Linked DNA regions of Ovis aries. Each later gene encodes a partner of the first gene's protein in a complex. Links are inferred from orthologs where the notes say so. Each region holds a gene or a part of one and is shown on either strand. Other genes may lie near its edges. The genes, in order: NOD2, MAP3K20, PKN1 and MAP2K3.

Region 1 (7,188 bases):
GAACATGCTCTTCGCTGTGAGCAGCTGCAGAAGTTAGCGTAAGTCAGGCTGTGGACGTTGGGCCCCGTGTCCCCAGACTCAGCCCAAGCCATGCTGCCTGGGCAGCAACTGTGAGTGAGTGATGGGCTGGGATGTTTGCATGGCCAGAGGGCACAGGGGACTCCTGAGGGAGCCAGTGACCGGGGTTGGGGTGGTCACTGTCCACTATGCTTTATCTCCATGTCTCTTCTCTCTTGGAACTTTCCAGTCTGTTCAACAACAAGTTGACCGATGGCTGCACACACTCCATGGCCAGGCTCCTTGCGTGCAAGCAGAACTTCTTGGCTTTGAGGTGAGCCTGGGGCTTCCCTACTCCTGGAGACTTTCGTCCCCACAGCTGAGTCAGTTTGGTCTGGTCTCGCCCCGTAATGGGCATATGACCTTACCTCGCTGAAAACAAGGACAGTGTCTCGTTCTGAATAGGGCTTCACTGATGCTATGACCTCCCCAGCAAACTCTGGACCATCGCTGCTGAGGCTTCCTGCTGTTTGACCTTTAGCCCCCAGGACTGAAGAGGGTTTCCAGGACCTTTTTTCTTCCTTGTGTCTCAGAGTGTCACTGGCTGTCTGGGGTGATCCATTCCTTGATGGTACACTCAGCATGCATTGGGTCGGGGTAGGAATGCAGCAGTCACTTGCCGCCACAGAGGCAGCTAGTTGCCAAAAAAGGTGGGTCCAATGCTGAGCGTCCCTGGTGGCTGACACAGTAAAGAACATGCCTGCAATGCAGGAGACATGGCTCCAGTCCCTGTGTTGGGAATATTTCCTGGAGTAGGAAATTGCTATCTACTCCAGAATTCTTGCCTGGAAAATTCTGTGGACAGAGGAGTCTGCTACAGTCTATGGGATCACAAAGAATTGGACAGGACTGAGCAACTAACACTTCACTTTCTAGTCTGGAAAGGCTGAGTTTCTGCTGCTCCCCACCCTCTCAGCCTCAAGGGGAATCTCTTTCCCATCTGACACCATTGCATCATCCCCCAAGCTGGTCCATGGGTTGGCCCAGCTTCTTTTTCTCTTTGAGATGTTCTTGCCTCCTGGGTTTATGAGGCAGGGTGGTGGTGGTTCATTCGCTAAGCTGTGTCCAACTCTTTGTGACCCCATGGCCTGCAGCACACCAGGCTTGCCTGACCTTCACCATCTCTTGGAGTTTTCTCAAACTCATGTCCATTGAGTCTGTGATGCCATCCAACCATCTCATCCTCTGTCACCCCCTTCTCCTCCTGCCCTCAATTTTTCCCAGCATCAGGGTCTTTTCCAATGAGTTCTTCACATCATGTGGCCAAAGTATTGGAGTTTCAGCTTCAAAGTGAAGAATTGCTTCCATGCATTTGGGGGTGAGCTGCCATTTTAAAATTGTTGACTCCGTCTCGGGCAGGGCCACTGAGGCCAACACCAGAGGCACCATTCTGTACTGAGGACTCTCTTCTGCCTCCACCACCTGCCACCCTCAGCTCAGGAAGCCAAGAGCGGCTGTGGCCAGAGCTGGGCTGGTGCAACCTCCAGGGAGGGCTGTAGGGTAACAAAAGGTACTGCTCCCAGAACTTGAGAGGTCTGTGTTTTGGGTTAGTATAGCATCTCAGTTGAGAGCAGGGCCCTGGAGCCAGACTGACCAAGGTTTGGATCCAGCATCCCTGAGACCTGAATCCTCACAGTGACTTCTGTTTTCTGTGTCTCTGTTTTCCCTTCTATGAAATGGAGAAAGTAATTACAGCTCATAGCTCATAGGTAGTTGTGATGATTAGAAAGTGAAAGTTGCTCAGTCATGTCCAGCTCTTTCTGATGCCATGGACTGTAGTTCATGAAATCCTCCAGGCCAGAATACTGGAGTGGGTAGCCTTTCCTTTCTCTAGATGATCTTCCCAACCCAGGGATCGAACCAGGGTCTCCTGCATTGCAGGCGAATTCTTTACCAGCTGAGCTACCAGGGAATCCCAAGAATACTGGAGTGGGTAGCCTATCCCTTCTCCAGGGGATCTTCCTGACCCAGGAACTGAACCAGAGTCTCCTGCATTGTAGGCAGATTCTTTACCAGCTGAGCTGCCGCGGAAGCCCTGTGACGATTAAACAAGTTAATATACATAGAAAGCTGGCATAGTATCCCAGGTTCTTTCCATAGTGGACTTAGTGCCCTAGAGATGGTGGATAAATCACATAAGTTCTCAGCGTGTTGATCCTGTTTGTCCAGTCCTCCAAGGAAGGATTTGCTGGGGGAAATCCCTATGGGGGGAAATTGGGAAAGGGAGCTGGAGGGGGAGGCTGGGAGAGCCGCAGGTCTGACCGTGAGGGAGAGAGAGAGGGAAGGAAGGTTGTCAGGAGGAAGCATCTTGGACCCCAGTGCAGTTTGGAGAGAAGACAGAGGCTGCTGGGGAGTCCTCCAGCCAGTGTGCCTGACAGAGGAGGCTCAGGTCTCCCAGTCCTGGGCTGGGAGCAGCCCGTGGGAAGCAGGCCTTGGGGCAGAGGGAGCACTGGACTTGCCAGCACAGCAGCTGGGGCCCTTGGTCACCCAGGAAGGTCAGAGGTCTGTCAGCTTAAAGTGAATGAAATTTCTTTGAAAGATGAAACTGGCAGTATTATTCCAGGAAGCCTGGAGCTGTGGGTGAGAGTTCCGGGGACCTCCCTGAAACTCTCTGAGGTGCCCGAATTTTGCCGAAACCCCCTCCTCCGCCCTTGCCTGAAGGCTTAGCAGGATCCCTTTCTTTCTTTCAGCCACCAGAGCGCCACCCCCCAGGCACTTTCAAAACAGGTAGATGCCACCTGCAGCCACCGTGGATGGGGCAGGCTGCGGGAGGAAAGCAGGGTCCAGCGCCCGCCCGCAGTCAGAGGAGAGGGTGGAGGAGTGAGTCACTCTCCCTCCCTGGGGAAGCCACCTCCCTGGACTGTCGTGGTTCCTGCTCCTACCTGTCACAGCGCTTTGCAGAACAGGCCCTTGCATGCCTCTCCCCTTGCTGGTGGAAAATGAAGTCGCAGGAGCATTCAGTGAGCCCCCGAGCTGCAGCAGCACACGCCGCGTCTCCAGCTGGAGCTGGAGGACTGGTCCCTGTTTCTCTGCCTGGGCCACACTCCCTGTGCACCCCCCTCCCCAGGCCCGGGTCTTGGGGCCCAGTAAGGGTCCTCCTGCCCCGCTCTCTGTCTCAGTCTCTCTTCTGTCTTCCCTTCCAGGCTAGGAAACAACCACATCACAGCCGCGGGAGCCGAGGTGCTCGCCCAGGGTCTCAGAACTAACAACTCCTTGCAGTTTTTGGGGTAGGTGGGATTCTAGGGTAGAGGGGCAGCACGCAGGGGTTGAGGGCTTGTGAGGATTTAGGAGCCTGTGAAACCAACTCTTCAGCCCCAAGATCTCCGAGACAACCCCCACCCCCTCACCCCCCCTCCCGCCTCCACCCCCCCTCCTGCCTCCACCCCCAACTCTCGCCTCCACCCCCTGCCCAGGCTGCAATGGGGAGGGAGAGCGTGGGCAGCCCTTGTTGCCTCTGCCTTGCTTTTTGCTCAATAAACAGGAAGCTCAGGATGTCAGGGTTGGGGGAGGGCAGAGCCCAGAGCAGTGGCAGGAAGCCCTCTGGTCCTCCAGAGCGCTGGAGCTGTGTTTCTTACCTTGGTCTATATGTGGGAACCACTGGGCTCCTGAAGAAGGCCACTATCTGCCCCAGGCTAATTAAATGAATTATCTACATGCAAGGTCTGGAATCAGTAATGTAAAAAAGCTTACCAGATGATGTGCAGCCTGGGGTGAGAGCCAAGGAGAGAAGGAAGTGGGGAAGTTTGGACCCTGGACCTTGGATGGGAGGAGGCTGCACCAGGTCCTACAGAGCCCTGGCTTCCTGTGGGGTCATGCCAGGCAGGGGAGAGGGGTCGGACACAGGCGGGAAGGGCAGTCCACAGACCTCCGGGCCCCAAGTGGGGCTTTCTCTGTTTGCTGGGCAGACAGGCTTGTACCTGTCCAGTCCCCTGGAGCTTCTTTCCTGTTCCATCTTGCCCTGGTGTAAACTAGGGTCTATTTGAAAACAAAACAAAACAAAAAAAAAAAAGGGGGGGATTTTAGAACCCAAGACTGTAGGAAGAATGACTTTAGAGCCTAGGTGTTCCAACTCATTTTACAGACAGGCAAGTTGCCCGTGGGCTGTGTTTGAGCCCCGAGTGGGACTGTGTTGCTGGAGAGATAAGACCTTGTCCAAAATGCATTAGTAGCATCACAGAGTCTAGGAGAGGGTGGCCGCGGCCCCCACTGAGCTCCTTCCTTCTTGAGATCACATCTGGGGTGTTTAGCTTTCAACACCTGTTTATGAAGGTACCTGTCTGGTCTTGGTCTTGTGCTAAAACCCTCAAGCACTATCACGTGATACAAACTGTTATGTAACTTGCTTTTTTCTTAACACTGTATTATTATACTGTATTATAACACTGTATTATTTTGTTCATATCACATGACCTCACTTTTAAAAAGAATAGCTGCTCAGTATTCCAGTGGTTTGATGTCGTGATGTGTTTAGTTGGTGTCATGCACACTTTAGGTTGTGGGCAGGTTTTTGCTATTACAGTGTCACACCCTGGAGTGTAGAGTGGTGCTGGCATGGGGCCAGAGCTCAGTAAGTGTTCACCTTATGAGTGAAAGTGCAGTGAGCATCCCAGTCCTCTCTGCCCATGTGGGCACCTCCGGGTCCATCCTCACTTCCCACATGGGAAATGGCCAGGTGCCAAAGTATGAGCTGGGCTCCATCTTTGAAGGGGGTGTTTCCCAATTAGGGTGGGTCTGAGGAGGAGAAGCCAGAAGGTGAAGGAGCTTGAGGCTCCAAAGGAACTGGAGGCTCTGAAGGAACTGGGGATATAACAGAGGAGCAAGAGATGAAGAACTAGTGTTTGGAAGAAGAGTTCGCCTTCTTCTGGGTGGTCCTAGAGATAGCGAGGGACTCCTGGGTGGCAGTGAGCACAAGCAGGTCTAACCCAATGTCGGAAAATGTCACAACTGTGACTTGGCATTGAGAATGAGTCCCCATCCCTGAGAATATGCACTGGGTGGGCCTCTAACTATTTTGAAAGTCTGATTTAAAGAAACCAAAAAGTCTAATTGAAGTTTTTCCATCCCTCCAAAAAGATGGAGGCAGGCTCACTTTGCTGGGACCTGAGTCCCCCTGAGACCTTTCTGGGACTGGGGAGTCCTGCTCCTCTGCCTGGGGCTGCAGAGAGGAGGGGCACGTGTCTTGAACACAAAGCAGGTTCTCACTGACACTGTTTATTCTGTTGAACCTTTCAGGTTCTGGGGCAACCAGGTGGGTGACGAGGGGGCCCAGGCCTTGGCTGCAGCTTTGGGTGATCACCAGAGCTTGAGGTGGCTCAGGTAAGCCTCAGAGTTCGTCCTGCAGTTGGTGGGGGAAGCCAGTGTGAGGAGGGAGGAGCTTGGGCCAGTTTTGAAGGTCTGTGAACTTTATTTTCACCCCACTGTGTTAGATAACGGGATGAGAAGGAAAGAGCACTGGAGTTGAAGTCAGGACACCGGAGTCTTGCTGGGTGACGTTGGATCCCTTTTCCTCTCAGGAGTCTTGATTCCCTGTCTGTACTCAGAAGATCTTGGGCTGGATCAGATAGTTTAGTCGCTCAGTCGTCTCTGACTCTTTGAGATCCCATAGACTGTAGCCCGCCAGGCTCCTCTGACCATGGGGTTCTCCAGGCAAGAACACTGGAATGGGTTGCCATTTCCTCCTCCAGGGGATCTTCCCAACCCAGGGACTGAACCTGGGTCTTCCACATCTTCTGTGTCTCCTGCATTGCAGGCGGATTCTTTATCCACTGAGCCACTGGGGAAGCTCTGGACCAGATACACTTTTTAAAAATCATTGTTTCCTTTAGGCTGTCCTGCGTCTTTGTTGCTTTTCTCTAGTTGTAAAGAGCGGGGGGCTGCTCTCTGGTTGCAGTGCAGGGTTGCTTTCCTCTAGTTGTAAAGGGCGGGGGCTGCTCTCTGGTTGCAGTGTGGGGGCTTCTCTTGTCGTGGAGCACGGGCTCTAGGGCACGCGGGCTCAGTGGTTGCTGCACGTGGGCTCTAGAGCACAGCCTCAATAGTGTCATAAGGGCATATGGGATCTTCCTAGACCAGGCATTGGACCCGTGTCTCCTGCACTGGCCGGTGGAGTCTTTACCACTCAGCCGCCAGGGAAGCCCTGGATCAGCTACACTTTATCTCAAGAGTCAATTCCAGTCTGTTAGTGGGAGCTGCTCAGCAAACCATGTTGGGAAGGATTCTAAAAAACTGCTTCTGGACTTAATGAGAAAGAGCACTGCAAAGGATTAGTCTGAAATGGAGCAGACCAGGACTTGTGGCAATGTGTGCCGTGCATTTTGCCCTCCTTGAGTTATCTTTGAGGTCCCTCACTGCTCTGACATATTTTTGTTTTTTGACTACATCCAGCCTGGTGGGGAACAACATTGGCAGCGTGGGTGCTCAAGCCTTAGCATTGATGTTGGAAAAGAATATGGCCCTGGAAGAACTCTGGTGAGTTTAGGGGATTCATTTCACTAGGGAAGCAGACACCAGCCTTTTTTCATTCTCTGGCCTCATCTGTGGAAGCTGATGTGTGTATAAGACAAAGATGGATGACTGAGTGATTGGGTGATTGTGTTTGTCTTTGTCCTAAGTGGCATGAAGTTTATAGAGCCTGGCTAATTCTTTTCATTGAATTTTTCAAGCCAGTATGATTGGTCTGTTGGTTTGTGAGCTTCCTCCATGGCATATAATAGTTCAGAGCACAGACTCTGGAGTCCAGCAGGCTGAGCTTCAAGTCCTGCTGTGATCTTAAGCAAGCTAAGTAACAGTATCTGAATCTCAGGTTTCTTACCTGTAAAATAAGAGTATGGATGCTTTCAACTATTACATACTTTTGTGAGAATTTAATGAGATAACACCTGTAAGTAGCTTTGTATAGTGTCTGGCATATGTGTAAGTGCTCCATAAATGTGAAATTGTAATAGGATAGTGTCTCAATGGACATGAACTTGAGCAAACCCCAGGAGATAGTGAAGGACAGGGAAGCCTGACATGCTGTAGTTCATGGGGTCGTAGAGAGTCAGACCTGACTTAGCAACTGAACAACAGCAAATATTTCTACGACTGTTGCTGCTACTACTACAATGATTGCTGTTGCTACTGCTCCTAGTGTTT
Region 2 (7,188 bases), on another chromosome or scaffold:
GCCCCAGGAGGCACTATGCTCGGTCCCGCCCACCTCTCTAGCCTTGTCATGTCCTCTGTGCTTCAGACTTGTACTTGCCCTTCCTCTGCTGTTCCCTGCTGCCTCACACTGAGAAGAGGGGTCTTCCCTGACCACTGAATCTAATGCCCCGAGTCTCACTATTTTCTAATGCCCCAAGTCTCACTATTTTGTGATTCTCACTTAGCACTCTGACATTACTAATTAATTATCTATCACCCTCCACTGGAGTATATATAAACCTTGAGAGAGTATAGATTTAGATTTAGTCCACCCTAATCACAGAATGATAGCATCACCTATTCAATGGACGTGAATTTGAGCAAACTCTGTGAGACAGTAGAGGACAGAGGAGCCTGGTGTGCTGCAGTCCATGGGGTCACAAAGAGTCAGACATGACTTAGTGACTAAACAAACAAATCACAGAATGGTACCTGTTGGTAGGTACTTGCTAAATATATGAATTTTAGTTTTAATAGCACCTATTTCTAAAATATTTGTTTTTCTAAAACAAACATTGTTTTTCTAAAACAAATATATTGTTTCTCTAAACCAATATTTCTAAAATATTTGTTTGTACATCTTTCAATTTTTTTCATATATTAAATATATGGAATCTGGTTTTGATGGTAGTAATAGAAGTTGTACCCTGTCCTTGTGAAGACTCACTCACTGATCTACCCTCACCGTTAAACTCGAAGCACCAAGAAGGCAGAGCTTTGTTTGGGACCCGAAGCATAGGCTTTCTTCATTACTCATTTATCTTAATGTAGTGGGGAATGACCCACCCACCCCCAGTTTCACTGCGCCCACAATGTTGCTGGGTATCCTGATACAACCAGAAAGCAGAGTGGCTATGAAACCTCTAAACCAGCCACTGCCTGCACTCATTGTTCCATATCCCTAGTATGTCACACACGCATCCATTTGTATTCAGAAGGTGCTCAATGATTAACTGATTAATGAATTACTCCTTCAATCTCTAGGTAAGCACCCTGTTCTCATTCCTTTCATTACTTTGTTAGAATAATTATATTGATCTCCCTATATTCATGTTGGTTAAATAGCTTCTCTTCCAATAAACGCTAAACACCCTGAGGCAGCAAATAAAAACCCCTTTGGAGAAACTGATGGTGAAGCCAACGGCCTTGCCCCCTCTCCCCTACCCTTTACCCAGGCTTACCTCATATGTGACAGTGCATTCTACAGTCTGATTTTCCATTATTCCTACAATCCACTTCTCCATTACAAATGGGGGCTGAAAAACAGAAGTTAGAAAGGTGTAGTGCTATAGTACGGGCTTTCCTGATGGCGCAGCAGTAAAGCAGCAGCCTGCAATGCAGGAGACACAGGTTCAATCCCTGGGTCGGGAAGATCCCCTGGAGAAGGAAATGGATACTCACTCCAGTCTTCTTGCCTAGGAAATCTCATGGACAGAGGAGCCTGGCGGGCTACAATCCATGGGATCACAGAGGTCAGACATTGAGACTAAACAGCAACAACAACTGCTTTAATACAGCCTGCCCTGCTACAGCGTAGGTTTCTTGGAGGCCAGTCATGCTGTACACAGTTGGTAAGTAGGGTGTGATGTCAGGCTATCATGGACGCCATGATGTCAGATTATTAGAAAAGCCCTGTTGGTTCCCATGTGATTACTCACAACATGCTAATGTCTGATCTTTGGGGGTTTGGTTTTCATAAGACATCCTTGTATATGTTTGTAAACAGCTAATCTTGTCTCCCACAATCTTCTCTTTTCTCATGCATCTCTCAGTTGTATCATTAGATCATTAACTCATGATTGTATCTGGAAGACTTCTCAGAAAGCTTTTTCACAATTAAGAAAAATCCTTAACAATCTAAGAAGACCCTAAAGTGCTTTTTCTGAGTGCAGGCAGTGGCTGGTTTAGAGGTTTCATAACCACTCTGCTTTCTGGTTATATCAGGATACCCAGCAACATTGTGGGCGCAGTGAAACTGGGGGTGGGTGGGTCATTCCCCACTACATTGAGATAAATGAGTAATGAAGAAAGCCTATGCTTTGGGTCCTATTTTAAGTGAGATGAAAGTGGTCTTTATTAGAGGTGAATCTCCATACTTTCTTCCCACCCCCCAGCCTGTCATTCCAGATTTAAGGTTGCAAATGACTGGCTGACCATGAGATGGGTACAAAGCAAATTTGGTAGAGATTTAACTGAGATTTTTTTTTTTTTTTAAGATGAGAAAACAAAGAGAAGTTTATTAGCATTTATACCTCATGTATACACGGGAAATACCCAGGGAAAAATGAGTAATTCAAAGAATTCAGGATTCAATGCCATGTTTATAGAGGAAAGGGAAGAGGGAGACATAGGCCCCTTGGAGGAGAGAAACTGATTTTTAGGAAAGACTATGGGCCCTTAGAGGAACAGATGGGAGGCAAGAGTTAGTGACAAAATTTGTCTAGGTGTGGAGCCAAATTCTAGTCTCTCCTGGGACAAGAATCAACCTTGGTATTTTTTTCTTTCCTTAATTAGGATTTTTTATTGTTTCCATTGATGCTGAAAAGTCCTACAGATTTTGAATGGTCCAGCCCAGTCCTATTTTTCCCCATAAGCCTTGTTAATGTTGGTGCATGATTTTGCAGAAGATACAGTTCCCCTGGAATGCATATATAGCCTTAGAGCAGAAACACCTATGTTAGTTTTATAACTCCACCCTGTTATTTTTGCTCTGAGTGACTTCCTTCCGTTAGCAGGCAGTGACTTGCTTCTCAGTGACAGTGAAGCCACAAACAACCGGCGGCAACCAGAGACAGCACAGGTGGGGAGGAAAGAGAAAGTATGTGTGTGTCCAGGCTCCCAGACACCAAAACATAGTCTGTCCCAACGGAATAAGGGAAAGGTGAAAGCAGATCATAACCTTTACAGATAACTAACATAACTTTTAGTACACAGGGGCAATCCAACAAAGAATATCAAGTCAATCTACCTGCATATGCTTGTAAATTAAAAGTGAAAGTGTTAGTTGCTCAGTCATGTTTGACTCCTTTGCCACTCCATGGACTATAGCCCGCCAGGTCCTCTGTCCATGGAATTCTCCAGGCAAGAATACTGGAGTGGGTTGCCATTTCCTTCTCCAGGGGATCTTCCCAACCCGGGGATTGAACCCTGGTCTCCTTCATTGCAGGCGGATTCTTTACACTTGGGTGGTTAGCAATCTCGTGCCTGGGAAGGGAACACATTTGCAAGTCTAATGCTGGGGATTTGAAGGCTCTTTTCACTTCCCTCTTTTTGTCTGCACCCTGGCTTGTTGCTGCCAGCCTCATTTTCTTCCCTAAAACCAAATACGCAATCAATCGTGTAGTAGAGTTCATGCCTTCTGTGACGTTTAGGGTAACTGTCCTGTTGACATCGTGGTTATTTACCTGAGTGGTTGACCTTCTACAATTGAAGTCTTATATGTATGTTTTCAGTATGATTATTTTGAAGAGAAGCTAAGCATTTCTCTAAGTCTGTCTTTAGCGTTTTAATGGGTGTGCTTCTACTATTGACCTCACAGTAGTAAGATACTGTCCGGTCACTCCAGGAATTCACAGGGGTGAATTCAAGGAAACCATGAAGACTGCAATATGTGCCTTTTGAATAATCTCATCCCAGTACTTCCAGAAATTCAAGAAATCTTTCTCCTGACAAGTTTTTTAAAGTTTAACATGACCCAAAAATTCAAGGTAAATATTTTCATCATTAGCATTTTCTTTTCTTTCATAAATGACAGAATATGCCTAAAGAAATGTAGAAGAAAGTTAAAAAAAAAATTAAACGACACTTTTCTGTAGTACTTTTTGGTTCACACAGCATAAGTGGAATTTTAACAAAAAACTATTATGATCTCAATCTGCTAAATAAAATGTGCCTTTCAACAGCCAGCTTGAAGCTGAGCTGGTATGAACATCATGAGCACAAAAGCATACCACTGGGGTATTTTAATGTCTTTGTTTGATATCTGTGAATTCAAAAAAGCTTTTAAGCCGTAAATAGAACCCTACCTTTGTCATCTTTAAAATCTCTGCATCAGGTAGGTTAGTGTTGAAAGTCACATCTTTGATGTAGGTTATTGCAATTTCATCCCCATCCATCTCCATATACATTTTCCACTTACAGTCCTGGAATTAAAAGAAAAATTATAGAATTTGAGAAAGTAAAGCAGTTTTTTAAAAAAATCTCAATGTTTTATAACACATGAAGTATTCTCAATGAAGTATTATTGGAATTTTTTCCCCCTTATCAGTAAAAGAATGTGAAATTAGATCTCATTCTATACATAAATAACCCCCAGGCGGGGCAGTCTTGAGACGCCATTTACCTCTTCTAAGTGTTCTATAATAGGAGTTGCAAACTCCACACCTTAAAGGGGCCAGGCAGATAAAAATGAGTAAGGCAGGCAGCTAAGAGCCTTAAATTGTAACCTTTCAAAATAGACCCATTTAATTTACATGCTAAACATTGTAGGGATATTTCCCCACTGACACAAAGCAATGTGGTCTTCCCACTATTTTGAAATATAAGACTCTCTTGATCTACCTTTCACTTTCCCAGTATTAATAATGACACAGATTCAAGAAATAGCTTCATTTCTTCTTAACAGGAAATGTGAGGCTATATGGCAATGGATAATTAGCCCAACCATTGGGTTAGGCATTAGGGGAAGGGTTCGACTCTCTGGGGATCTAAAGGGTAACTGCCCTAAAGGGGCAGCCACCGCTCATCTTCTGTTGATTTTTCCCATGTGGGAATATGAGCCTAGTCTTGACAGGTCCTTAAACGTTTCATAAAAAGTTGGATATCTGATTCTTATAAGAAACCTCTTGGTTTTTAAAATATTAGTACATTAATTAAATTTTCAGTAAAACGATGATGTAATGAAAAAGTGCTCTACAGCATTAATCACCAGGGGAATGTAAATTAAAATCATAATGAAATCCCACTATACATTTACCAGGTGGCTAAGACTGAGAACATCAAATGTTGGTTGTGAGTTGGAGCTATTGGATTGTTGGTGGGAGTGTAAATGGTAAAAATCACTGTTGGAAAAGTTTTGGCAATTTATTACATAACTAACCATATATGTACTCTATGACTCACAAATTCTACTCCAAGTATTTACCCAAGTGAAATGAAAAAAGACTTGTATGGTATTCTTCTGAGCAGCTGTATCATAATAGCTAAAGAAAACTGGAAACAGGCCAAGTGTTGATCAACAGGAGAATGGATGGACTGTGATATTTTCATAGAGTGGGATATTACTTAGCAATACAAAGGAATGAATTATTGATACATGCAACAACATGGATAAATCACAAAAGCATTACAGTGAGTGAAATCTTGTATAAGAAAAAGAACAAACTGGGGCTTCCCTGGTAGCTCAGAGGTTAAAGCGTCTGCCTCTAATGCAGAAGACCCGGGTTCAGTCCCTGGGTTGGGAAGATCCCCTGGAGAAGGAAATGGCAATCCACTCCAGTATTCTTGCTTGGAGAATCTCATGGACGGAGAAGCCTAGTAGGTTACAGTCCACGGGGTCGCAAAGAGTCAGACACGACTGAGCGACTTCACCTTAACTTAAGGCTTCAATTTACATGAATTTCTAGAATAGACAAAACCAACCTACAGTGGAAAATATTCAGAAAAGTGGTTGCTTTCTGCAGATGGCAGTTGACTTGGAAGACACATGAGGGGAGTGTCCAAGGATGCTAATGCTCTACTGATAGGAGTTTGGATTATATTGTTGCTTAGTCATTAAGTTGTGACTGACTCTTTGCGACCCCCTGGACTGTAGCCCACCAGGCTCCTCTGTCCATGGGATTCTCCAGGGAAGAATACTGGAGTGGGTTGCCATTTCCTTCTCCAGGGGATCTTCATGACCCAGGCTTAGAAACTGCATCTCCTGCATTGGCAGGTGAATTCTTTACCACTGAGCCACCAGGGAAGCTGAGCTGGGTTATAAAGGTGTATGCATTTGTTAAAACTTAAGTGTGTATACTTAACATGTGTGCCTTAGGAGAAAATATACTGATATCTACATGTTACTTTAAAATGCATCAAAAAATAAGGATTGATAGATGGCAAAGGATAGAGAGATGTAACAAAACAAGTAGAATAAAATGCTTCTGTTTTCATCTAGGAGGTGAGTATGCAAGAATTTCTATACCATTTTTTCAACTTTGCTTTTAGAAAAATGCAGCAATAAAAATGTTGGGGGACAAACACTATGTATGCAATTAAAAGGAAAAAGAAATTCATGTCTGTGCACCAAATTTGACCCCTGGATCATAAATTTATCTTCTCTCTTATGTTATCAGATAATAAAAGGCTTCTGAGAGATTAAGGATAATGTACTAAGTACCTTACACCCCGAAACCACAATATGCTTTCACACCAGCAGACTTGGAATGTTCCCTGAGCAAGCTCAGACACAATTATTAATGGAAGAACAGGAACAAAGAGACTGTTGAAAACCTGTTGGCTTCAGCAGGAAGCTGGAGGGGTCCTGCGTTTTAGGAAAGCTTCTAGGGGAATGGCAGAATCAAGAAGGGCCCAGGCCTGAGGCGACGGTCCCTCTTTGCCTGGCCACGTTCACAAGGTGGAAAGCCAATTAGTGAAGGAAAAGTTCTATTCAATAACAGGAAAACCTTGCTCTTGGCTAACACAAGTCAAATTAGTCGCTCAGAACTGACAAATCTCTCAGTATTTCTTTGTTTTGGAGCCATTGCTACCCTGGCAACGTGAGCCCTGAGATAACTGGGCAGGAAAATGACTCTTTGGAGTCATGATTACTCTTCTCTGAAATAGCAAGAGCCTCCTCAAGTCAGTAGCTAGAATAAAAAGCCTTAGAAATGACGAGTTTACTTCGTTCTGTTTTTTCTGCCTTCCAAGTTTTGGAATGAAGTTAGTCAAAAGCACAGTTAAAAGACCTTGAACTGTGGTGCAAATCCTGACACCCTCTGTTTCACCTCTGTGACCGCAGGCCCCTGCCAATCAGAGACTGAGGGGAGCTCTGCATAGAGAAGGGGCTTCAGAGGGAGCCCAGGCTGGGGGTGCTTACCATGCTCCCGGTGTCTTGCTGGGTACTGACACTGTGCTGTTTTATTTGATACCCATAATGACCCTGCAAGTTAGCTTTATTTTCCCGTCA
Region 3 (7,951 bases), on another chromosome or scaffold:
TATGCCACTGTGTATCTCTAGAAGCTGTTATGACCATGGGTGTGTCTCTAGATATCATGATGATAGTATACACATCTGCGCTTCTCTGGTGGCTCAGTGGTAAAGAACCCGCCCATCAACGCAGGAGACATGAGTTCAATTCCTGGGTTGGGAAGATCCCCTGGAGGAGGAAATGACAACCCACTCCAGTATTCTTGCCTAAAAAATCCTATGGACAGAGGAGCCTGGTGGGCTACAGGCCATACAGTTGCAGAGTCAGACACGACTGAGCCGCTAAATGGTAACATGTGTGCATCTGGGCGTTGATCTGTGTGTACGTCAGAGACGCCACCAGCAGTGAGAGGCTGCATGTTGCCCGGTCTCCGGGGGTTACTGAGTATGGTGAGGGAGTCTCTGCCACGTGTTGATCTGACATCACCCACAGTCATCCAGTTTCCTCTCTGCCCCCACCCAAGCTGCCCACACTCCAATCCTGCTGCAGAGTCACTCCACAGCCCTCTGTCCCCAACCCAGAGTGCCCCAGCCTCCTGCGGGGCAGATGGAGGCACCACCCCGCCCCCCACCACAGGCTCCAGCCTGGGATGCGCCCACAGGTATACATGCACATGGAGGGGTGTGCACGCACGCTGCTCCCACCTTGGTGCTGCCGTTGCTATACGTCTGGATCATGTTCTCTGCCCCCTGCTTCACCTTCAGCTCGATGGCCAGCTGCTTCTCCAGACCGGCTACGCGGCTCAAGTTGGTGGCTGAGCAGGCAGAGTCACCTGTGCCAGGGGACTGGGGGGCATCTGGAGGGGTGGATGGGGCAAAGTCACCACAGCCCTCCTCTCCAACTGCCCAGGTGCTTTTGCGCCAGCTGAGAGGATCCACCCCAGGCCTGTGAGGAGGAAGAGCTGGGGGCCACAGGGTCCACTCCCCACCAGCCCTCATAGGGAAACCCTTTCAGGGCTGGGGCAGGACCAGTGTGAATGAACACAGGTGTGTGTTAGTCGTTGGTGTGATCGTGTATACCTTTGTAGAGAAGGTATATACACCCCAAAGATGTGCAAGGCTGTGTAGGCGTCAGCGGGTGTGGCTGTGGTTAAGTCTGTGACCTTCAGGGTGCTGGCATAACTGAGTGTGTCTCCCCAGGTGCCAGTGTAACTGTGAGATGTGAGGTGTTAGAATGCCTCTGTGAGATTCTGGGTGATGGGGATGGCTCTGTGCACGTCTGCAACTGTCAGCAGAACTGAGCATTCAGATCTCCTGGCGCTGGTGTGACAGCATCCGAGTGCTGGAACAGCTGGACATGTATGTCTCTGGACAGCTCTGTGTCAATCTCCAGAGAGTGGTATGACCATCAGAGGCACTCTGGGTACAGCTGTGACAGGATGAGGTTTTGAGCGTTGGCTGAACTCTTTCATTATCTTCAAGTGTTGATCCAATAGTGTTGCTGCTGCTGCTAAGTTGCTTCAGTCGTGTCCAACTCTGTGCGACCCCACAGACGGCAGCCCACCAGGCTCCTCCGTCCCTGGGATTCTCCAGGCAAGAACACTGGAGTGGGTTGCCATTGCCTTCTCCAAGGCATGAAAGTGAAAAGTGAAAGTGAAGTCGCTCAGTCGTGTCCGACTCTTAGCGACCTCATGGACTGCAGCCTACCAGGCTCCTCCATCCATAGGATTTTCCAGGCAAGAGTACTGGAGTGGGGTGCCATTGCCTTCTCCGTCTGATAGTGTTAGCCTCCAGCTATTGACACACCAAAGAGGTGTGTGGGTGTTGGGCTAAGTGATGCTGAGTCTCAGGTCTTGTCCAGTTGACTGTGTTAAGTATCAGGCTGTTTATGGGTTGGTAAACTCCTGTGGCAGCGGCTCTGTGTGTCTGAATCTCTGGGTGTTGCTGTGAGCGTGTGTGAGTCCTCAGGTTTTGTGTGTGTGTTGGTGTGATTGCGTATGCATTTATCTGGGCACTGGCTGGCAGTATGGACGTCTCTGGGTATTCACAGAATAATGCTGCTACTGTTTAGTCACTCAGTCACGTCCGACTGTTTAGCAACCCATGGAGCGTAGACGGCCAGGCTCCTCTGTCCATGAGATTTCCCAGGCCAAGAATACTGGAGCGGGTTGCCATTCCCTTCTCTGGGGGATCTTCTCGACCCAGGGATCGAACCCACATCTCCTGCACTGCAGGCAGATTCTGTACCGCTGAGCCACAGGGTGGGCCCTCAGAGTAGTCTGGGTGCTGGCGTGACTGTGTGTGAGGGTCTCTGGCTACTGATGTGATGTGTGTTACATCTTTTAGTTGTAAGATGAAAAAGTTCTGCAGATTCCTTGCACAAAAATGTGAAAATACTCAACACCACTGAGCTGTATGCTTAAAAATGATACGTTTTCTGTAATGTGTTTTTTTCCAAAACGTTTTATTTTATATTGGAATATAGGTGATTAAGGGACTTCCCTGGTGGCTCAGTGGTAAAGAATCTGCCTGTTAAGCAGGAGATGCAGGTTCAATCCCTGGGTTGGGAAGATACCCTGGAGAAAGAAATGGCAACCTACTCCAGTCTTCTTGCTGAAAAATCCCATGGACAGAGGGGCCTAGCAGGCTGCAGTCCATGGGGTCACAAACATGGGGTCTAAACGGAAGCAGTAACAACAGCCAACTAACAACGCTGTTATACTCTCAGGTGTTGTGTTTTTTTAATCACAATTAAAAAAATTTTTTAATCAGTTGGAGCCTATAGGTGTTGTCTAGGTGTGGGTGTGATTGTGACTGTGACTGTGGATATTTGTGTGATACCGTGTAAACCCTTTGGTGTTGTCCAGGTGTGGGTGTGACTGTGACTCTGGATATTGGTGTGATACCGTGTAAGCCCTTTGGTGTTGTCCAGATGTGGGTGTGACTGTGACTCTGGATATTGGTGTGATACCGTGTAAGCCCTTTGGTGTTGTCCGGGTGTGGGTGTGACTGTGAGTCTGGATATTGGTGTGATACCGTGTAAGCCTTTGGTGTTGCCCAGCTGTGGGTGTGACTGTGTGTACCTTTCCCTGAGTGTTGGTTTGGGCCTTTTGTCTGCCTGTATTGGGGCCTCCCAGGTGGCACTACTGGTAAAGAATCCGCCTGCCAATGCAGCAGACGCAAGAGATGCAGGTTCAGTCCTGGGTCGTGAAGATGCCCTGGCGAAGGAAATGGCAATCCACTCCAGTATTCTTGCCTGGGGAATTCCACTGGACAGAGGAGCCTGGCGGGCCACAGTCCGCAGGGTCACACAGAGTTGGACACGACTGAGCACTTGTCAGCAGTGATAGCAGCCACCTGCATTTTCAGGTTGGAAGCTGCCGTGACCGAGTGTGTCTCCCTGGGAGGCAGTGGCAATGGGCTGGCCGGCCGCACCCTGGGACACAGTGGGTGAGCCCTGGGCAGTGGAGGCCCCCAGTCCCGCATCCCCCACCCCCCAGCCCAGGGAAGCCTGGCTTACCGTGCACGCCCACCGCGGGGTCGGGCAGCACCACGTGGGCATGCAGCTCCTGCAGCTGCTGGTGCAGCAGGTCAAGCCTGCGTGAGGAGCCGCGCAGCACCAGCTCCACGGGACCGAGGTTACGGCCCAGGTCAGTGGTGGCTCGCCGCAGGTTCTCTGCACCCTCCTTCAGCTTCAGCTCCTTACGGATCTCCCGCCGCAGACGCTCCCGCTCCAGCTCCAGCTGCTGCTGTACCCCAGGGGCTGCCAGGTCGGCACCTGCCAGGCCCAGCTGCTCCAGCAGGGACCAGCTGCGTGGCTCACTCTGCGGGGGACGGAGCAGGGTCAGTGGGGCCAGAGCGGCTCTGGCAGTGCAGACCACATTCAGCTGACCTGGCCCGGCCTCCTCCTGGGGGGGGACTACTGACACAGGCCCTGCTCCATGTCCTCCGACAGTCCCCCAAAACTGGGAGGTGAGACAAGGCCCTGTGCCTGCTTCCTGACACCTCCAAACTGTGAGGTCCCAAGGGCAGGGCCTTCTCCTTGCCTGTCACCTCAGACAAGAGGACCACAGGTACACTTCAGTCTTCCCTCACTGTCCTCATGCAGTGGGATCCTGCAGGGCAGATTCCATTGCCCCATCACTGGGTCCCCACAGCTCGGGGTCCCCAAGGTCAGGCCCTAGCTCTCCTTCCACTGTCCTCCCAAATTAGGGGGGCCCAAGAACAGGCTTTGTCTCCCTCTGTTGCCCCCAAATGACCAGGTCCTGAGGGGAGACCCCCTCTCCCCTCTGCTGCCCCCCTAAACTAGGAGGTCCCAAAGGCAGGCCCCATCTCTGCTCCCTTATGCCCCACGTTAGGAGGGCCTGAGGGCAGCTTTCATCTTCCTTCTGCTGCTCCCCAAATGAGGAAGTATCAAGGGCAGGCCTGTGATGCCCCCCAGACCACAAGGTTGGGGTTCCAAGAGCAAGTTCCTTCTCCTCTTGGCTGTACCCTTGAACTAGGAGGACCTAGGGACAGGCCTCATCTATTCCCTGCTGTAACCCCAAACTAGGAGGACCCAGGGCCAGGCCTTGTCTATTCCCTGCGGTAACCCCAAACCAGGAGGGCCTGGAGACAGGTTTTGTCTGTTCCCTGCTGTACCCCCTAACTTGGAGATCCGGGGGCCAAGCGCCATCTCCCCTCCTTTTGTCATCTACAACTGGGACCCCAAAGAAAAGAGCACTGTTCCCTTCCTCCTCTATCCCCCCAACCTGGAAGCTCAAAGGGCCCCAAACAGTTTCATCTTTCAAACAGAAAACTCCAAAGCCAGCATCCCACCTCCTCTCCTCAGTCCAAAACCAAGCGGTACCGAGGGCAGGGCCCCTCCGGCCTGTGCCACTTGGGGTCCTCTTCTGCTGCCCCTCCCCCACAAGGACCCCAGCCCCCACCTCCAGCTCCGGGTCCAAAGGGGGATCAGCCTCCGCCATCCTGGGCCCCGGCTGAGGGCCCCGCCCTCTTCCTGAACCTCAGCCCTGCCAGGGCCTCTCGCCTGCTACTTCCTCTTTCCTGCTGGCTCCCAGCAACCCCTGCGAAGGCCAGCTCTGGGGCTCTGGGGCATCAAGAGCACCTTCCTCTCAGCCCCCACTCGAGGGCTGAGCCTGCTTCTCTGGGGTCATCCCAGGGGTGGCCCCTCTGCTCCCTGTCCTGAGGATGCCCAAGGTGTACGCAGCAGGCACACACACACGGGCCCGCTAGTGTGGACATGAAGAACAGCCTTCCCCACATATAGCTTCCCTACAACACACTTATACACCTACAGGCATCACAGGCTGGCCAGTGTGTGCCCACCCCCCACCCCCTGTATATACTTATATACACCAACACCCACAAGTGCTTACATGGGCGGGCCAGCCCCTTTCCTGTCCCAACTTCCGGCTTCTTCTCAGCTTGGTTGCCTGCTGCTGCTGACCACAGCTTGGAGGCCTGGGGGCCCGGCCGGCCCTGCGGTACCTCCCTGAGGCCCACATCATGAGGAGACAGCTCTGCAGGGCTGGAGTACCAGTGTCTCCACTTAAGCTCAAGTATGATTAAGAACCATGGAGGTTACTACAAGCTGCACACCAGGTCAACTAACGCCATTCCAGGAGGTGCTACTATCACTCCGTTTTCCAGATGAGGAAACCGAGGCCTGGGGCGGTGACCTAACTTGCCCAAAGCCTCATAGCCAGCAGGAGACAGAACTAAGATTTCCAACAAGAGTGCCCAGAATCAGAGCTAGTTGTCAGCCAGGCAGGAAGAGCCCCGCATATATTATCTGCCGCCACGGTGAGACCCCATTTCAGAGATGAGGAAAGTCAGGGTTCACTCTCGATCAACTTCAAGGGCAGCTGCCCCCAGAGAAGATTTACTTCAGGCCTAAAGTGTCACTCCCATGATCCTACTGACCCCTCAATTTTATCCTGAGCAGCTGCCATATTTCCCCTCCTACTTTACAGGTGAGGAGACTGAGCCTCAGAGGGATGGCAGCAGCAGTTCTCAATGGCGGAGGGGATTGCCAACACTCCCACCTCACTTCTGGGGGCAGCTGGCAATATCCAGAGCCATTCTGGGTTGGTTGTCATAACTGGGGCTGCTACTAGGCTCTATGGGGTTGAGTTCATGGAAACTGCTTGACATTCCACTGTAAACACGAGAGCCTCCACCTCCAAGAATGATTCAGCCCCAAATGTCAATAGTGCTGAGCTTTAGAAACCCTGGATTAAAGGACACAGACTCACACCCTGAGCTGCTGGCCATGACCACTGGTAAGGATTTCACAGCAGCCCTACCTGCAAGGGGCTGACCTGGTCTACGTCCTTCCTCACCGTGAAAACTCTCTTGGCTACATTTTTTTTTTTTTTTCAATTTTGACGGCAGAAACCAAGGCTCAAAGAGGGAATGGCGCTGGGCCTAGGACACACTGTGACGAAGTGGCAGCTCTGGAATTTACACCCAGGGTCACCTCCTACCACCTGCTATCAACCAGGTCCCACCGGCCACCCAGCCCCACCCTGTCCCCAGCAGGCAGAGCAGCGGTGCAGCCAGGAGCGGGGCCAGCTTGAATGAGGGGAGTCCGGGTTTGGGGGGAGGAGCAGAATCCCTCAGCCCCACCTCCTCCAGCAGCTGAGGGATGAGAATATGCAAAGGAGGGAGAGAGGGAGGCTGGGCCTCCCGGGTTCTCCTTCCTTGGATGACTCACTCCTATCCAGGGCAGGGGTCACCTGAGGGCCAACGAGATGAACCCATGAATCAGGAGCCTGGCCTGGCCTTGGGGAATCCCCAACACCCTCCAAGAAGCAGAAAACACCTCCCCTGCCCCAGGTCCAGAGGGTCCACTTCTCAGAAATTCCCTCTTCCTAGAGTGACCAGGGATCTAGACCCCATGTCCGGAGATTTCAATGCATTGGGCGTTTCTGGAATCCGGACAGGACATCCGTTTGCCGGACACAGAACAGACAGGCACACACACTGGGACAGACAGAGGGACAGGGGTAGCAGACCCAAGCAGCCACGAGAGAGAGAGGAATGACTAGGACGGGGTGAGGGTGGTGGTGGGGTGGGGTAGGGGGAAGAGAGCAGGCAGGAGACGGGAAAGGGGACCAGGGCGCAGGTCCAGCCTCGGTCCAGGAATCACAGTCTCCGTCCAGGCCATGTCTGCTACATGCCAAACGCATGCATGTGCCAGCGGAGTCCTACACTGTCCTCCCAGGGCTGATGGGGTAGAGGCAGGGACCCAGGCCCTCCCCAGCCCCCAAGGTCTGACCTTGTGTGATCGGCAACACCAGATACGCCCAGCTCCTCGGCAAGGCTGGCAGGCCATCAGCAGGACTGGGGCGGGGGACAGGGGGTCACGGGGGAGACACAAAGGGGATGTGGGGGCAGGTGCAGAAGGAGATGAGAACCCAGTTACACAGCAACCACAGGACGATGGAGAGCTGATGAGGCACTGTGGGGGCACCGGAGGTACAGGACATGTCTCAGATTTGGGTCACTGACCCAGAGAGGTTTCAGCAGTCATTCTGGCCCTGCTTACCACAGGCAGGGCAGGTGAGTCCCAGGCTGCGATGTCCACAAGGTGGCACAGGGAGAACCTGGGTGGGTGGCACTTCGGTGTCAGTCACCTGTGCCTCTGTGTGTGTTGATGTGTGGGTTGTGGGGTGACCCAGTCCAGGCAGGATTCCAGGTAAGAGAATCCCCAGTTCATTGACATGGACACTCCCCACCCGGAATCCTGGGATAAGGTTCCACCTGGCAGCCGAGTGGCTGGCTGTGTGGGTCCCTGGTCCCCAGACCTAAAGAGGTGACTCTGGCACTTCCGCCAACAGGTGCCAATCTGCAGCGTCGCGACCATCGTAAAGCTCAGTCCGGAGGTGGGGGTGCCGCCGCCGGAGCTTTGTTGTGCGTGGGGGAGGGTGGGAGAAACGGGGCGAATGGCCTGCGCCCTTCCCGGGGCATCGCGCCAGGCACCTGCTCAGGTGGAGCGGCACCTGCCGGGGAACCG
Region 4 (7,913 bases), on another chromosome or scaffold:
AGCTCAATTCTGCTGGAGATGCAGGTGGGGTTGCAGCCACTGGCAGAGCTGGGGTCCCTCGGGGGCAGTGTCAGGGAGAGCCTCCCCTCCCTGTTTCAGAACTGGGCCTTGAGGGGTAGGAATGAGTCAGGTGGAAAAGGCAGGAAAGGGCATTCCCAGCTAAGGGAACAGCCTTTGCAAAGGAAGGTTCAGGGAGGAGAGCTGGGGCTGGGAGTGGCTGGGGCTGGGAGACCCCTGGGGAGGTTCTCTGATGAGCGTCAGAGCGTTCTTGGCTAGCCCTGTTTTGTAAGGCTCTCTGGCTGCTGCGGAGGAACTGGGGGCAGGAAGCACGGGGAGGGGGCAGAAGAGGTCCTGGCAGTGCCCAGGGCTCCACAGAGTGACCAGCTGAGGTCCAGCCACCATGCCAGGACTGGCCACCAGAGGGCACTGTGGGCGCAAGCTGAGGATGCCCTGCTGCATCAGGGCTGTGTGTTCGTGCGTGCGTGCGTGCGTGCGTGTGTGTGAGTGTGTGTATGCGAGTGTGGATAGTGAGTGCGGATAGTGTCTGTGAACGTGCCTGAGCCTGAGTGGCCGCTCCGCGGACAGGTAGACGCTTGTGCATCCCGCTGTACTCACGACTGTATGCATGTGTATCTGGGGCGTGTGCACTTGCGAGTGGGAGGGGGCCGAGGGCGTGAGTGAGCAGGGCGCCTGCCTCTAGGCCTTTGCACACGCCGTTCCCTTCCCTGGGGTGCTCTTCCCTCCCCTCCCTCCCCTCCTGAAGCTGCAGTGAGGCTCTTCCCCCGTCTCTAAAATCACAGCCCCGCCCCCAGAGGCCCGCCGGTCTCTTCCTTCCTTTACCGGGAACACATCCCCTGGCGATTATAATCTAATTTGGCCATTTCGCTTGTGGGGTTCCCTCAAGAGTCACCTCCCAGAGGGCCGCCATCCTGGGCTCAGCCATCCTCTCTCCAGCCCCACCCCCCACCCTGAACCCACCTCCAGGCCCACATCCTGATCTGGCTACACCCCTTTCTCTGAGTCCACATGGAAGGGTGTTGGGGACTTATTTTCTGCTACAGGCACCCTGTCCAAAGTCCCTCCTGGCTTCTGAGTGGTCGGGGAGACCCAGCTTTGCTGTGCTGCTTAGAGGCAGAGGGAGGCCAACAGCCATGGCTGCAACCAGGGAGCTCTGCGTCCAAGCTGGGCTCTCACAGGCGGTCCCCTGCACAGCTCCAACCCTCTGTTTCTGGCTTCTCTACCTGATGAGCTCCTCCTGGTTTTTAAAGGCCCAGTCTCAAAGTCACCTCCTCTGAGGAGCTTTCCTGACCTCACCCAGGTGGAGTCTGGCACCTTGTTCACATGTCTATTTATAGCAGCCCACAGGGAGTTTTGTGATTCTCCAGCTGTATGTCAGGCTCCCTGACTAAGCGTCACCTCCTGCAATGGCAGGCCTCGTCTGAGTCATAGGTGCCATAGGAGCAGGCTGGGTTGGGACAGGAGTTGCTTCCAGTGTCTGCGGCATGCTTTCCATGCTTCCTTTGTTCATTCCTCACATATTTTTTAGGCACCTACTATGTGGAACAGGGTTGTGCAACATAGCATAACATGTCCACAACCCTGGGCTGTGCAACAGGAGTGCTGCAGAGAGCAAGTTGGCAAGATTCCTGCCCAGGATGGTCTGACGGTCCAGAGGAAATAGGAAAGGTGTTGGTGGCGTCAGTGCTGTGCAGAGGAATACAACTGATTTGGGTGCATGGCCAGAAGGCCTCTTAAGGTAGTTCATTTAAGAGGATACCTGCAGGGGACTTCCCTGGTGGCCCTGTGGTTAAGACTTCACCTTCCACTGCAGGGGGTCAAGTGTTCAACCCCTGGTTGGGGTGCTAAGATCCCATATGCCTCCCAGCTAAAAAACCAACAGGTAAAACAGAAGCAATATTGTAACAAATTCAATAAAGACTTTAAAAATGGATCCCATCAAAAAATCTTAAAAAAAAAAAAAAAAAAAGAGGAGGCCTACGGGATGAAAGGGACCAGCTCCAGGAATCATGGTGGAAGGCTGGGGGGAAAAGATGTATCAGGCTGAGGGAACAGCAGAGGCGCAGGCCTCATGGTAGGACCGGTATTCGTGGGTACAAGGGGCAGCACTGAGAACCCGCTAACAGTGCGGGGGGAGCACAAGTCCCAGCGGTTGGCAGGGGCCTGAATCCAGGAAACCTACCGGACCAGGCTTGCAGTCTTGGTGGGGAGGTGTCTGTGCTGTTGCCCATTTTCCAGGTGGGTAAGCAGCAGGTCCAAAGGTCACAAGACCCATTTGGGACCAAGTGCTCTGGGCCACTCCAGACACCCAGGAGTGGTGAGCCCGGGTCAGTTTCCCATAGGAAGTTCACAAACACTTGCTGGGCATCTAGTGAGTGCCAGGCCCTAAGCCAGGCACTTGTGAGCTCACACTCATGAACCCATTTCAGAGAGGTTGCCCTGTCCCTGTAGCACAGGTATGTCAGCAGGCATGGAGATGCTCAGCACCCACCTTTGAGTGGCACGGTTGGCATTTGAACTCATAACCTGCTGAGTCCATAGCTCCTGTCTTTCTGCCCACGCCCCGGGTGCAGGAGGAAATAATGATAATAAGGAGGCCTCACCTTATCTCATCGGGCCTCCTCATCACTGTGAGGGTGGGCCCTATGGCCACCTCATCTTACAAACGAGAAGGCTTCAAGCCTTTCTAGGAGGTGGTGGAATCTGCTTCCCTCACGTGAGGTGCCTGGCAGGTGACACACTCTCGCCCACGTTAAGCGAGGGACTGACCTCGTGACCTCTGCTAGACTGTTCATTCTAGTGACCTGGTCCCAGTGCCAGATTGGTGAGTGGCTCTTGAAATCCCCCAGGCTCCACGTGGGAGCAGGAGAGAGGGCTGGTCCGTCCGGAATGAATAGTCAACAAACACCTTCTGAGTGTCTGCGGAAGCCTGGGTCCCTTCCTTTCAGCAGCGCCCGGAGGCGGGGACGCGGAAACAGGCTCCGGGGTGACACGACTTGCCCAGGTCAGCCTGGCCAGGAAGTAGTCAAAGCGGGATGTGATCTCGACCCCACCAGGGGGCGGGCGCACTTTGACGCCCGCAGCACCCACTTTTCCGCTCCCCGGGCCGCAGCTGGGCGGGCCTGGGGTACCCACGGTTTCTGGGCACTGCAGCCTGCGCACCCGGGGCGGGCCCGGGAGTGGGCTGGGCTGGTTTCCTGACCGGCAGCGGGAAGGACCCGCCCGAGCCCCGAGGGGCGGGGCCTGACGGGTTTCCCGGTGAGGGGCGGGCTTGATAGTCTGTGGGAGGAGCCGCGCCCCGAGCCAATGGAGGGTGAGGCTTGAGTTTGACGGGCAGGCCCCGGATTGCGTTTGATAGGCAGGGGCCGGGCCCGGAGACTGGAGGGCCAATGGGTTCGCGGGGCGGGGCCTACGTCGGCGCAGTCCGGCTGGGGCCCTGCCGCACTGCCCAGTCTGGCCCCGCCGCCTGCCGCGGACACGTCCCTGTTGCCGCCCTGCCCGCCGCCCGGGCCGTCCGCCTGCCTGTAGCCATGAGCGCACTCCGCCCGGGCCGAGCCCGCCACCCCCTGGACTAGTTCTGCCGCCGCCCGGACCCGCCCGCACCATGGAGTCTACTGCCCCGAGCCCGCCCGCCGGCGTGCCCACGTCCAAAGGTAGGAACGCCCGGGCTGCGGACCCGACCTCTGCGCGGTCTCCTGGCCGGGCCCGCACCCGGGCAGCTTCCCGGCCTGGAACCCCTCCCTGATCGGTCTCGGGCCCAGCCCGAACTCTGGCGAAGGTTTCGTTCTGATCACCCCACACCGGGTCAGAAACCTTGCTTGGACCTCCCCATTTGGGCCTTAACTGCAGCATGGGCAGGAATGAACACTCCCAGTCTGGGTCCCTCAGTTGGGTCCCAGGTGGGATTCACTCCCATCTTGCACCCAGCCGCGCTCCACTCCTGCGTCCCAGGGCTGTATGCTGGCTGGGGTTTAACTGCCCTTCTGGGGATCTCTCTGTAAACGCCTCCTCCCATGTGGGTGTCCTGGCTACAGTCCAGCTCAGATCTCCCCTACCTCTCCCCCAAGGCTCTCCATCCTAGTAGGCCCCACCATGGCCCCATTCCTGGCCGTCCTTCAGCCCTGTCTCGGTGAGGGGGAACCTCTCTTGGCCTCCCATCACACCTTACTGCATGGCCTCTCCACTGGCTCTGCTCATCTGGACTTGCAGGCTTCTCTCTGCACCAGGGGAGCTCACCTCCTCTTGTGCAGGGTTGATTGCTACCAGGTCTGTCCCCGCTGTCTGTGGGTCCAGGGCCAACTGCCGGGCGGTTGCTGGCTATGCAATGGTCTTGCTTTTGTCTTCTCCAAGCAGCCGGCCTTCTTGGAAATTTTTGTGAGGTGGCGGCTGCGGCAGCAGGATTTGTCATGCAGAGGGGGAGGACGAGACTTGGAGGGTGAGAGGGGGATTTTTTTTTTTTTTGGCAGGAAAAGGAAAGGATGTTTTTGGCATGTCAGAGTCTCAGAGGGCTGGACTTTGTGAGAGATTTCCAAACCGGACGCATCAGTAATGAATGGGCTGCCCCCGCCTCCCTAACCTGCTGCTTCACGCCAGCAGCAAGAGTGTCCTTATCACACCTACCTTCCGTGGACTTCAGGCGTAGGATGTGAGATAGTGAATACTAAAGAGTTCTAGGCAATTGTGGGTGATGATGATGAGAAGCCTTAGCAGACAGTCTGACTGTGTTACTGTTACCATTTTTCTTGCTGGAAAGGCCCCAGCCATGTGGGATCCAGGCCTTGCCTCTCCTGGATTGTAGCTGCAGAGTGAGGAGGAGAAAGGTAACAGCTGGCCCTTAGGGACCCTAATCAGGGGTTACCCCTGCCTCTCTGGGTGGGGCCGGGGTGGTAGCTGGAGCGCTTGTGGGGTCACAGGGCGGGTGCGGGTCCTCCTTCCCTGCTGCTGCTCCTGGTGGCTGCAGTGGCTGTGGACCCGAGCCCAGCAGGCCAGGTGGAGGGTAATTAAGTCTTAACCTAAGTGGGAGGCTGGGTCCCTGACTGCTGCCTAGCTACTGTGAGTACACGGCAGGGACTTGCACCGCGCCGACCTCGTGGAGCTTGGGAACCGGGAAATCAGACATTTCTCTTCCCCAGCTCCAGGTTTAGGCCTAGCCTGGCCAGGCTGTGAGACCTCAGGCAGGTCCATCAACCACTCTGGGCCACAGGGTTTTCGTGGGCAGAAAGAAGAGATTCAAAGCAGTGTTTGTTTTTGAAGTCCCTTTCTGCTCCTCATCAAAATAAAAATTAAAGTTGCAAGGTTTGGAAGGGAGAGTAGTCAGGCGTATGAAGGAATAAAGCACTTTGGGGCAACACTCATATGCTGTGTGACTTGAGCCCTGGTATTGTCTTCTCTGAGCCTCTCAGCAGAGAGAGGGCCAGGATGAGTTTCCAGTTTCTGGGTCTGGATAACAGATGATGTTGAGTGGGTTGGATGGAGGGTCAGGGGTCTACTCAAGGCCCAGGGACACCCTTAACCTCTTTGGGGTTTGTGGCAACACGTGGCAGGGAAGCCACAATGCCTTCCCCCGAAAATCCCAAACTTTTCCCATGTGCCATGCATTCACCCATGTATGGTTCACAGCCTCATTCACAGACAAGAAAGCTGAGGCTCAGAGGTTTTCAGTGCCTTGCCTGAGGTCACACAGCTGTGGCAGATGGAGGCGGGGTTCTAGTACTCAGTGCCCAGTGCTCCCCTGTGTCCCTTTTCTGTGCTGGGTGCTTGGGCTGAGCTGGTGGGACACTTCCCCTTCCCCCATCACACCTCTGTCCAGAAGCATCTCCTTGAGTCCATGCCTGACCTGGAGGATGGCCTGAGCCAGAGATGGTGCCTTATGTGTGCATAACCCTTTACAGCTGGCACACTTCATGCTCACTGCAGTGAGGCCCATTTGACAGGTGACAAAACTGAGGTCAGACAGGAGGAGTGGCTCGACCTAGCCCCTCCCATAGTGATGTCCTCCTTCACGCCTTCTTGAGGAATTTGGACCAAGCAGGGTGTGGTTGGCACCTGACCTTAGGGAACTTTACCTCTGAGCTTCCTGCCCTGCAGGGGTGCCCTGCCCTGCCTTCCCTGCCCCTGGCCTGGGGAGTTTCCAAGAGTGCATGAGGCCCCAGGCCCCATAGCCCTGATATTTTCCCAGGCCCCCTTGCCCACAGGCCATCTCTGCCCGGGGTCAGAGGCTGAAAGCAGCCAGGGTCAGAGGGCATAGCACAGTCTGGGTCTGCTGCTTCCAGCCACATTTGTCCTTGGGGTGCCCCCAGCTGCACTGTGAGTGCTGACCCCATGGGCACTTCCTGGTTGATCCTCCTGCTGCCCCCTGGGCACACTGAGGCTGCAGGCGCACAGTGTCCTGGCCTTTCCTGCCATGTGGCTGCCCTCCCCTACCCGTCCTGTCCCTGGCTCTTGGAAAGATTGGAAGGTGGCATCTTGGGGACTTTCCCCACCCCTGGCATGACGCACAGGAAACTGTCTATCAGCCAGCCTGTGGCTCAGGGCCTGAAGGGAGCAAAGTTCTCAGCCACTTGTGCGGGGAGAGGGCCGGGGCAGCGGGAGGCTTCCGGCGGGTGAGTCAGCGGGCACTGGGCACTGACTCACTCTTGGGGCATGCCAGCCTGCCGGCTGCAGCTTAAAGGGCCAATGCCTGGCTGCTGGTGGGTGGGAGAGGGGCTGAGTCCCCACCTCATGGGCCGGCCTCTGGTCCTGGGCTGGGCGTGGAGGCAGCCCCCTCCCTGGACCTGGTACGGGGTGGCTCCAGACCCCTGCTCCTGGCCCCTCGCCCATCCCCCCAGGAACTTCCTCTTGCTCATGGAGCTGGAGCAGGTGGTGGTGACTGTTTGCCGCCTTCGGCCCAGGGGCTCCTCCTGCTCAGATGTGCAGCTGGGGGCTCCAGGCTGCAGAGGAGCAGAGGTGCCTTGAACTCCCACAGAGATGAAGACTCTGGTCAGATCCCAGCCCAACCCCTCCACTGTAATGTTGGACGTCCACTGCCCGCTGTAATGCTTTCAGTCCTCTGGCATTGCCCAGCTCTCAGATGCAAGGCCTCAGCTTCTTCACCTGCAGAATGGGTATGGGAGCCCTGCATGCTGGCAGCTGTGAGGATGTGTGTAGACAGCCTCATCCCCCTCGCTAGTACCAGGTACAGGGACAGCAGAGACTGCCCTCTGTCTACGAGGAACCTCAGTGAGACAGGAAGGGGGGCAGAGCCTGGGCTCAGGGGTGGATGGGCCTGTGTTCAAATTCTGACTCGCTCCATTGCTTCCCAGCTTCCTCAAGTGCCCTCTCTGACCCTTAGTCTCCTCTTCTGCAAAGTGAGAGTAACCAACCCCCCATCTCAGAGTGGTGGTAAAGGTGGGAGATAGTGTTTGTCAAACAAATGTCATCTGTTATTTTCTCGTTGTTATGGTGGTGGCAGTTGTTCGTTGGTGGATGAACAAACAGAACAGGGACCTTGATGGTGGACTTTAAGCCCTATGACACGACTCTGGCTGCAGCTGGCACCTGCCAGGCTCTGGTCCCCACACTGGAGCCGGGAGCTTCATGGCCTTTTGGGCCCTCCTGGGGAGGGCTCGTGGGGAGCAGAGAGAATGGGATGGTTGCCTCCCCCACAGTGTGGGGCATGTGGGGCCAGGAGTCAGGAGAGTGGGAACCTCCTAGGCCAGCTGCTCAGTGGGCAGAGCCCCTTCAGGGCCAGGCAGGGCACTTGTTGTGGGTATGCAGGGTTGGGTGAGGACTGTCTTGACCAGGGAGCACCCTGGCTGGAGAAAAGGAGGCGGTGGGGGAGTGATTCTGAAGGTCCAGCTTCAAGGTTTGCCACGGAGCTGATGGGGAGCAGCCGGGAGGCAGGGCCTTGGTGGCCG

What was found.
Region 2: NOD2 (region 1) and MAP3K20 share a complex: the UniProt entries of both Homo sapiens proteins name them as parts of the signaling complex. The link is inferred for Ovis aries from reciprocal best matches to the Homo sapiens genes NOD2 and MAP3K20.
Region 3: NOD2 (region 1) and PKN1 share a complex: the UniProt entries of both Homo sapiens proteins name them as parts of the signaling complex. The link is inferred for Ovis aries from reciprocal best matches to the Homo sapiens genes NOD2 and PKN1.
Region 4: NOD2 (region 1) and MAP2K3 share a complex: the UniProt entries of both Homo sapiens proteins name them as parts of the signaling complex. The link is inferred for Ovis aries from reciprocal best matches to the Homo sapiens genes NOD2 and MAP2K3.

Annotation. Positions count from the first base shown.
Region 1 is NC_056067.1:18,633,540-18,640,727, forward strand, and holds part of NOD2 (nucleotide-binding oligomerization domain-containing protein 2), read left to right. Parts: coding exon 1-38; intron 39-247; coding exon 248-331; intron 332-3,200; coding exon 3,201-3,284; intron 3,285-5,289; coding exon 5,290-5,373; intron 5,374-6,438; coding exon 6,439-6,522; intron 6,523-7,188. UniProt on the Homo sapiens protein: Pattern recognition receptor (PRR) that detects bacterial peptidoglycan fragments and other danger signals and plays an important role in gastrointestinal immunity.
Region 2 is NC_056055.1:136,653,638-136,660,825, forward strand, and holds part of MAP3K20 (mitogen-activated protein kinase kinase kinase 20), read right to left. Parts: intron 4,163-7,188; coding exon 4,046-4,162; intron 1,277-4,045; coding exon 1,202-1,276; intron 1-1,201. UniProt on the Homo sapiens protein: Stress-activated component of a protein kinase signal transduction cascade that promotes programmed cell death in response to various stress, such as ribosomal stress, osmotic shock and ionizing radiation.
Region 3 is NC_056058.1:9,644,417-9,652,367, forward strand, and holds the start of PKN1 (serine/threonine-protein kinase N1), read right to left. Parts: upstream 4,913-7,951; 5' UTR 4,899-4,912; coding exon 4,860-4,898; exon of another isoform or gene 4,750-4,859; intron 3,756-4,749; coding exon 3,452-3,755; intron 789-3,451; coding exon 637-788; intron 1-636. UniProt on the Homo sapiens protein: PKC-related serine/threonine-protein kinase involved in various processes such as regulation of the intermediate filaments of the actin cytoskeleton, cell migration, tumor cell invasion and transcription regulation.
Region 4 is NC_056064.1:34,993,629-35,001,541, forward strand, and holds the start of MAP2K3 (dual specificity mitogen-activated protein kinase kinase 3), read left to right. Parts: upstream 1-3,468; 5' UTR 3,469-3,622; coding exon 3,623-3,671; intron 3,672-7,913. UniProt on the Homo sapiens protein: Dual specificity kinase. Is activated by cytokines and environmental stress in vivo. Catalyzes the concomitant phosphorylation of a threonine and a tyrosine residue in the MAP kinase p38.